Saccharomyces cerevisiae S288C: one gene and its partner. The protein of the gene in region 1 interacts with the protein of each later gene in a pairwise test. Each region holds a gene or a part of one and is shown on either strand. Other genes may lie near its edges.

Region 1 (5,395 bases):
AAAGCTAGATTTGTTGCAAGAGGTGACATTCAGCATCCTGATACGTACGATACAGGTATGCAATCCAACACTGTACATCATTATGCGTTGATGACATCCCTGTCACTTGCATTAGACAATAACTACTATATTACACAATTAGACATATCTTCGGCATATTTGTATGCAGACATCAAAGAAGAATTATACATAAGACCTCCACCACATTTAGGAATGAATGATAAGTTGATACGTTTGAAGAAATCACTTTATGGATTGAAACAAAGTGGAGCGAACTGGTACGAAACTATCAAATCATACCTGATAAAACAGTGTGGTATGGAAGAAGTTCGTGGATGGTCATGCGTATTTAAGAATAGTCAAGTAACAATTTGCTTATTCGTTGATGATATGATATTGTTCAGCAAAGACTTAAATGCAAATAAGAAAATCATAACAACACTCAAGAAACAATACGATACAAAGATAATAAATCTGGGTGAAAGTGATAACGAAATTCAGTACGACATACTTGGCTTAGAAATCAAATATCAAAGAGGTAAATACATGAAATTAGGTATGGAAAAATCCTTGACAGAAAAATTACCCAAACTAAACGTACCTTTGAACCCAAAAGGAAAGAAACTTAGAGCTCCAGGTCAACCAGGTCTTTATATAGACCAGGATGAACTAGAAATAGATGAAGATGAATACAAAGAGAAGGTACATGAAATGCAAAAGTTGATTGGTCTAGCTTCATATGTTGGATATAAATTTAGATTTGACTTACTATACTACATCAACACACTTGCTCAACATATACTATTCCCCTCTAGGCAAGTTTTAGACATGACATATGAGTTGATACAATTCATGTGGGACACTAGAGATAAACAACTGATATGGCACAAAAACAAACCTACCGAGCCAGATAATAAACTAGTCGCAATAAGTGATGCTTCGTATGGCAACCAACCGTATTATAAATCACAAATTGGCAACATATATTTACTTAATGGAAAGGTAATTGGAGGAAAGTCCACCAAGGCTTCATTAACATGTACTTCAACTACGGAAGCAGAAATACACGCGATAAGTGAATCTGTCCCATTATTAAATAATCTAAGTTACCTGATACAAGAACTTAACAAGAAACCAATTATTAAAGGCTTACTTACTGATAGTAGATCAACGATCAGTATAATTAAGTCTACAAATGAAGAGAAATTTAGAAACAGATTTTTTGGCACAAAGGCAATGAGACTTAGAGATGAAGTATCAGGTAATAATTTATACGTATACTACATCGAGACCAAGAAGAACATTGCTGATGTGATGACAAAACCTCTTCCGATAAAAACATTTAAACTATTAACTAACAAATGGATTCATTAGATCTATTACATTATGGGTGGTATGTTGGAATAGAAATCAACTATCATCTACTAACTAGTATTTACATTACTAGTATATTATCATATACGGTGTTAGAAGATGACGCAAATGATGAGAAATAGTCATCTAAATTAGTGGAAGCTGAAACGCAAGGATTGATAATGTAATAGGATCAATGAATATAAACATATAAAACGGAATGAGGAATAATCGTAATATTAGTATGTAGAAATATAGATTCCATTTTGAGGATTCCTATATCCTCGAGGAGAACTTCTAGTATATTCTGTATACCTAATATTATAGCCTTTATCAACAATGGAATCCCAACAATTATCTCAACATTCACCCATTTCTCAGAACCAACTATCTTCGATCAATTTGTATTAAAACTGCTAGCATATTATCATATATGATGTAAAAAGACGACATAAAGGTCGAGTAACAATCATCCGATATAACGGAAGCTGAAATCCGAGGATCGATAATATAGCATAATTACTTGTATGAACGATGCTAAAATATTTGTTCCTTCACATCTACACGTGGAAGTAAATGAACTGGATGTCAACAGTTTAGAAGAGCTTTTTTTTCGGTTCTGGTAAACATTCAATAAACTGTTTTGCTCCCACTAAATATAAATAAACATAATTATATGTCTAGTGATAAACAACTACTTTCCCGCTGAATGCATCAAAATATCAATGCAAATTTAAAAATTGTATTACACATATGTATGCTTCTGAAAAACCTTATAAATACATAAATTCTGAGAAAATAATTATACATGACTGATTCCCAGCTTAACCAAATCCAGCCCATTCTATTGAGAAGAAATGAGTTTCCTTTGTCTCTTCCGCAACACCGCCTATGACCCAAAGTTTTTTCACAGTCGTTCCTAGTCTTGCACCACTTATCATGGATATTAGGTCAATCGGCTCATTATGATAATCAATCGCATCTTGTATCGTCAGATGTGAATGGAAACGAAGAGGATCACCAGGGTATGCTATAAACTTCCCACCAAAACGTCCACCTGGGGACAAAACGTACCCTTGATCTCTCAATGCCTTGTATAAGAAATAGGTCTGCATTTTTCCTGCCTGTCTGTACTGCTTAAATAACAAATCACTGATATCATCGCGGGATAAGCTGTCTGAATCACTCCGTATGTCTCTTAAAATCATAGAGGTATTAGCAATGTCAATGAACAAAGAAGATTCAATTAGCTGGTCATTATTGCTAGATTTATCAAGCCGTTGCAATTCTTCAGCTGTGGTTTTATCATTGATTCTACCGATTTTCTTTAATTTTGCAATGTGTTCATCCTTTTTGAACTTTCTCTGATATTCAAATGACTTGTTCAAACGATCGTTGACAATTTTAGATAGTTTGGCGCCCCGCTCTAATGTTATTCCCTCCATAATCTCATCTCCCTCTTGTCTTATTAATTTCACATCGGCAAGATTGTTCAAATGCAGCCACAGCACATCTTCTAACATAAGCCTCAAAGGTACCGACAAAAATACATTTTGCTGTGCTGCAGTAGGCAAAGTTCCAGATAACACACCACAAATACCCCATTTCCTTAGAAGTTTGATGTGATCTATGTCAAATACTAGCGGTGGCATAAAAACCTCCTCGCCTTTTGCCGTTCTTTTTGCATATATGTTAATAGCTATGCGCGTACCACCTTCTTCAGCCATATACGAAAGGATCTATGCTAATTGGGTGGATTTCTTATCGCATCACTTTCTTATTCTCTAACTCTTCTTCGCTGCTCAATAAAATATCTCTGCTTGGAAAAATGTCACGCGTAAAAATTAGACGAGGCGACAAAAGACGCGTGAACTAACATAAAGGTTTACTTGAACAAATGTTATCACTTTAAGTTCTACACGTAAAACAAAAACTATTCACTCTTCTTATTACGGTAAAGGCGAAACCAGCAAGAAGACCAGATTATACTTACAAGAGATGAGCAGTGTTCAACTTTCGAGGGGCGATTTTCATAGCATCTTCACCAATAAGCAAAGGTACGATAATCCCACCGGTGGCGTTTATCAAGTTTATAACACCAGGAAATCTGATGGGGCTAACAGCAACAGAAAGAATTTGATCATGATTTCCGATGGTATTTACCATATGAAGGCTCTGTTGAGAAACCAAGCTGCATCCAAGTTCCAGTCAATGGAACTACAAAGGGGTGATATCATTCGCGTGATAATTGCAGAACCTGCTATTGTCAGGGAAAGAAAGAAATACGTTCTTTTAGTAGATGACTTTGAGTTGGTCCAGTCGCGTGCTGATATGGTCAACCAAACTAGTACTTTTTTGGATAACTATTTCTCAGAGCATCCAAATGAAACCTTAAAAGACGAAGATATAACTGACAGTGGTAATGTTGCCAATCAAACAAACGCCAGCAATGCTGGTGTCCCTGATATGCTGCATTCAAACTCAAACTTGAATGCAAATGAGAGAAAATTCGCCAATGAAAACCCTAATTCGCAAAAAACCAGACCAATTTTTGCCATCGAACAACTGTCTCCATACCAAAACGTTTGGACTATCAAAGCAAGAGTTTCCTACAAGGGAGAAATTAAAACGTGGCACAATCAAAGAGGTGATGGTAAACTATTCAATGTCAACTTCTTGGATACCTCTGGAGAAATCCGAGCCACGGCGTTTAATGATTTTGCTACAAAATTTAACGAAATTTTACAAGAAGGCAAAGTATACTATGTATCAAAGGCAAAACTCCAACCAGCTAAGCCCCAATTTACTAATCTAACACACCCTTATGAACTGAATTTGGATAGAGACACTGTTATAGAAGAATGTTTCGATGAAAGTAATGTTCCGAAAACCCATTTCAATTTCATCAAACTAGATGCTATTCAGAACCAGGAAGTAAATTCCAACGTAGACGTCCTCGGTATTATCCAAACTATAAACCCACATTTTGAGCTAACTTCAAGGGCTGGGAAGAAATTCGATCGTCGTGACATCACAATTGTTGACGACTCTGGGTTTTCTATCTCTGTTGGCCTATGGAATCAGCAAGCCCTTGATTTCAACCTTCCTGAAGGTTCTGTTGCTGCCATTAAAGGTGTTCGTGTGACGGATTTTGGTGGCAAATCTTTGTCTATGGGATTTTCTAGTACCCTGATTCCGAATCCAGAAATTCCTGAGGCATATGCCTTAAAGGGTTGGTATGATTCCAAGGGCCGCAACGCAAACTTCATCACTTTAAAGCAAGAACCCGGTATGGGTGGTCAATCGGCTGCTAGCTTAACAAAATTCATTGCTCAGCGTATTACTATTGCTAGAGCTCAAGCTGAAAATCTAGGAAGAAGCGAGAAAGGTGACTTTTTTAGTGTTAAAGCTGCTATAAGTTTCTTAAAAGTTGATAATTTTGCATATCCTGCCTGTTCTAATGAGAATTGTAATAAGAAAGTTCTGGAACAGCCTGATGGTACTTGGAGATGTGAGAAGTGCGACACCAATAATGCAAGGCCAAATTGGAGATACATCTTGACAATATCAATTATTGACGAAACCAATCAACTATGGCTCACTTTATTTGACGACCAAGCTAAACAATTATTGGGTGTTGATGCTAATACATTAATGTCTTTGAAGGAAGAAGACCCCAACGAATTCACAAAAATTACTCAAAGTATCCAAATGAACGAATATGACTTTAGGATTAGAGCGCGTGAGGATACATACAATGATCAAAGCAGAATTAGATATACCGTTGCTAACCTACACAGCTTGAATTACAGGGCTGAAGCCGACTATCTTGCCGATGAGTTATCCAAGGCTTTGTTAGCTTAATGTATCAAATAATCAAGTACTATTTAATCTATGTAACATATGAGAAATGTAAAAAAAAAACTTCTATTTCGTCAAGTTTTTGAAGGGCGGTTCAGCATCTCTTGATGACTGGATATGAAACTACACGTTCAGTCATATGAATTTGAACCCATAATGCACAAATGAATAAAAATGCTAA
Region 2 (3,708 bases), on another chromosome or scaffold:
CCTTGAGGATGATGAAGAATTTGTAGAAAGTAAAGCAATGGAGTCAGCCTCGCAACTAGCACAATCAAAGACCTTCAAAATTGCGCATAAGAACAAAATTAAGGGTAAGCAAGAGCTACAACAGGTGAAATATAATCTTCAATTTGATAATAGACTACAGAGTTGCGTCAGCAATTGGTTGGCTGCCCGTAAAAAACTGGATGATTCTGTAATACTTTCCTCCGACCTTCTTTTCCTTGCAAATCTTTACGTTCAGTTAGGCCTACCTGATGGTAACCGCATCCGTTCAAAACTGGAACAAACCTTTGGAAGTGAATTATTGAATAGTATGTCGAACAAAATTGATGACTTCGTCCATAGACCAAGTAATAACTTGGAGCAAAGAGATCCTCAATTTAGAGAGCAAGGAAACGTTGTGATGTCATTATATAATTTAGCCTGTAAATACATATAATAAAAATAAACAAAATAATGCAGAAAGGTGTCTTTAAGTTCATTTTTCAATTTCTTTTCGGTTTTCGTACTCCTTTATAAACGAAGTAATAAACAATTGTACCATCATCGTTAATTATGGCCAGCAGTATTCTTTCAGTAGATGGACTACATAAGTGAGTAAATGTCTGGCTCAAGCATTCCAAAGTGAGAAAATTCTCTTTGTACTGTGACATATTGATGGGTAATATGAACTCTAGCGGGCGTGGCGATGACAAGCTATTTTCATGCTCTGTGTCTACATCGTTGCTCAGCTTGTGAGGCGGACGACCTCTCAGTAATCTCAGGCTATTTCCCTTCCATGATAAATCGTCTTGTAAAATTTCCACTTCCGTCCACATTTGGAAATAGAGTAAATTATTTTTTACTAGAGATATGATATCTGTCGTTGCCATTCTTATTTTCCTCAACCTCCTCGACGTAATTTCTCTTCGACAATTTATTATATCTTTCATATATTTCTGATGACTTTTTCATTTTCACTTTTTTTCAACCCATAACGGCTTTTTGTTCAAAAGAAACTGATCATGTCATCGATTAAAAGTAAAAGTATGCACATCAGCCTCGTGACAGATGAGGATCTCATGTCAAAAACCGCCAAGAAGCATGCATTATTGAATTTGAAACGTGGTAGATTATTAAGTATATGTCTATGTAATATTAAGTAAGACAAGGGCATTCACTTTACATGCAAATGCATTTGGAACCCTTGACCGAAAAAAAAAAAACAGGTTAACCGCAAAATACATGATCTTCCTTTATTAGAAGAACCGTTTGGCTTTAGTTAAAAATTGATGCTTTTCAGTGGAATGACGATCTTCGTTTACCTGACGCTCTTCATTTTCATCAACCTCATTTAGCAAGACTTCAGGGTCCACGTGCAAGTCTCGAATAACCTTTTCGGTCGCATCTTCCATATCCATCATACCATAAATTGCAATTGTGATAATACCAAGAATACCGGCAAAGCAGGAGAATGTCATGGCAATAATACCTTTTTTGGTAAAACCGGTAGGAATGAAGGCATGCTGAACATTTTCACCAGTTAAATCAGTTAAATCCAGTGTATTGGCAGCGGCGTTACCTTCAGTGGCCACAGAGCAACTCTGGCAAACTTCTAAGTGGTTTTCACTGAGTTGTTGAGAATGAGCATCTTGGATACCAAAAGGATCCTCCACGAGAACAAGACCCAAACCTTGCAACAAATGCCATTCGATATGACAATGGAAGAACCAAACACCTGGGTTATCGGCTTTAAACCTGATGACGAAATTGGATTGTGGTCTAACGTATAAAGTATCTCTTCTCATTGGGTATTCTGGGAAGGCAGGGTGGTTGTCCGGATCGAAACTGTGAGGAACTTCACCTAGGGCATCATCATATGTACGATCTCTCTGGATGGTTTGGAAAGCGTGACCATGTAAATGGAAAGGATGGGTACCTGTGTCCTGGTTATTTAGCACAATCTCCACGATTTCATCCTTCTCTAGGATGAAAGTGTGCGTGTTTGAACCGTAGATTTCGGAGTTGTTTGCTTGATCACCTGAAGACAAAACGGTCATCAAAGTAGGAACTTTTGGTGCAGTATAGGTGATATTATTGAAGAAGGCGTAATTCACACCGTTTTTCAAGTTATCCATAACAACGTCAACGGTAATCACATGATCTGGCTCGCCATAGATGGCTTCTTTCTCGTACGGTTGCAAGTAGAAATCGTCCAAGAAGTTATCAATTGAATCCACGTAATTTTGTGTGGGCAGCGCAGCGGTTTTGTTGTAGACCATATAAGAGGTTGCATTCAGCTGTAAATCACTTGGAATGACATCCAACATGGTGTCATCAAATTTCTGCATGATGGCGAAATTTTTGTCCGTGTCGTTTTTAGTGTGAACCAGGACTGTATATCTCTGAGCGACAGTGATGTAAAGCATATCCGTTACGTTCTTCTCGGTAGTGATACCGTCGATTTCGACCACGGTCATTTCGTGGTCCTCGATCCAAAAGTACTGCGAAACGAACCCACCCACGTTGACAATTCTCAAAAGATACGTCGTATCGGGCTGGACTTCCCATGTCAGATTCATCGTGTTGTTAACAATCAAGTTCTGTGGGATGGGCTCAGCACCTGTCGGATTATAAACACTCATGAACGACTTCGTCAAGTCCGTGACCAAGTCGTGGTACCACTCACTAAGCGATAAAGAAAGTTCCTCATCGTAATCGTAGGGGAAGCTATCATCCTTGATGATGAAAAGACCTTTCATCCCGTCTTCATATTGACCGTCCGTGTGTGAATGGTACCAGTAGGTGCCTACATTGTAGTCCACCGTGAAATTGTAAAGCATAGTACTGCCTGGCGCAATTGGACATTGCGTCAAGAAGGGCACACCGTCCATAGAGGCGGTTCCGTTTTGGAAGAGACCGTGGAAATGCATAGAAGTATTGGTGTTGTTCATTCCGTTGGTCAAGTAAATCTGCACACGGTCACCTTTGTTGACCGTTATATCTGGCCATGGGAACTGGCCATTACAGGTGATCACGGGACGGCTCTTTAGCCCATCAACGTTCCTGTAGTCCCAGCCAGTGGTCCAATTAAACGTGTGCGTCTCCGCTTGTGCTAGCGAGAGCATCGAGAAAAGCAAAACGGCTATAGAGAGCAAAGCGTTAGTCATCTAGTTCTAATTTTTTGCTACTCTTCCTTACACTGGGGTCCTCTTCGTTTCCTATGCCTATCCATCGCTTATAGAACAAGAGCTATAGGGCATGGCCTGCTTACATACATATATATATATATATATATATATATATAATCGCACTACATGCACGAGGCCTTGGCATACTCCCTCGAAGGATCGACTGTTTGAGTGCATCCTTCATTTTCTGTCGCAATTGGCGAGAATAAGAGCACCTGCAAATGGGTGCACTTTTGAAGATGGGCCTTGCCTGTTGGGCCTGCCTAAGTCAGCCTCGCCTAGCTCTAGGCGGAGGGTCTTTATCGGCGACTCAGCGTACTGTAGGGACCACCCCAGGCGCAACGGGCTGATTCGCACCCGGAAAGTAAAGCTTATTTCTGTCGGACGGAGAGTGTCCTTTTTCTCTCGCAGAAGACCATTTATTGGTCCTGAAACGGTATGAACATGTTATTATTCCTGTAACCGTGAAATAGGCAAGCCAAGGCATTATCGCAAAGAAGGCAGCACAGATTCTCGTATCTGT

The links. The genes of interacting proteins can lie anywhere in the genome.
Region 2: the proteins of SEN34 (region 1) and SEN15 interact in binary tests that used the Saccharomyces cerevisiae proteins (3 or more experiments, as listed by UniProt).

Annotation. Positions count from the first base shown.
Region 1 is NC_001133.9:156,576-161,970, reverse strand, and holds SEN34 (tRNA splicing endonuclease subunit SEN34), read right to left. Parts: upstream 3,006-5,395; coding exon 2,178-3,005; downstream 1-2,177. Other genes in the region: YAR009C (truncated gag-pol fusion protein), read left to right, coding at 1-1,374; replication factor A subunit protein RFA1, read left to right, coding at 3,352-5,217. UniProt on the Saccharomyces cerevisiae protein: Constitutes one of the two catalytic subunit of the tRNA-splicing endonuclease complex, a complex responsible for identification and cleavage of the splice sites in pre-tRNA. It cleaves pre-tRNA at the 5'- and 3'-splice sites to release the intron.
Region 2 is NC_001145.3:388,278-391,985, reverse strand, and holds SEN15 (Sen15p), read right to left. Parts: upstream 888-3,708; coding exon 501-887; downstream 1-500. Other genes in the region: SAM complex subunit SAM37, read left to right, coding at 1-454; ferroxidase FET3, read right to left, coding at 1,254-3,164.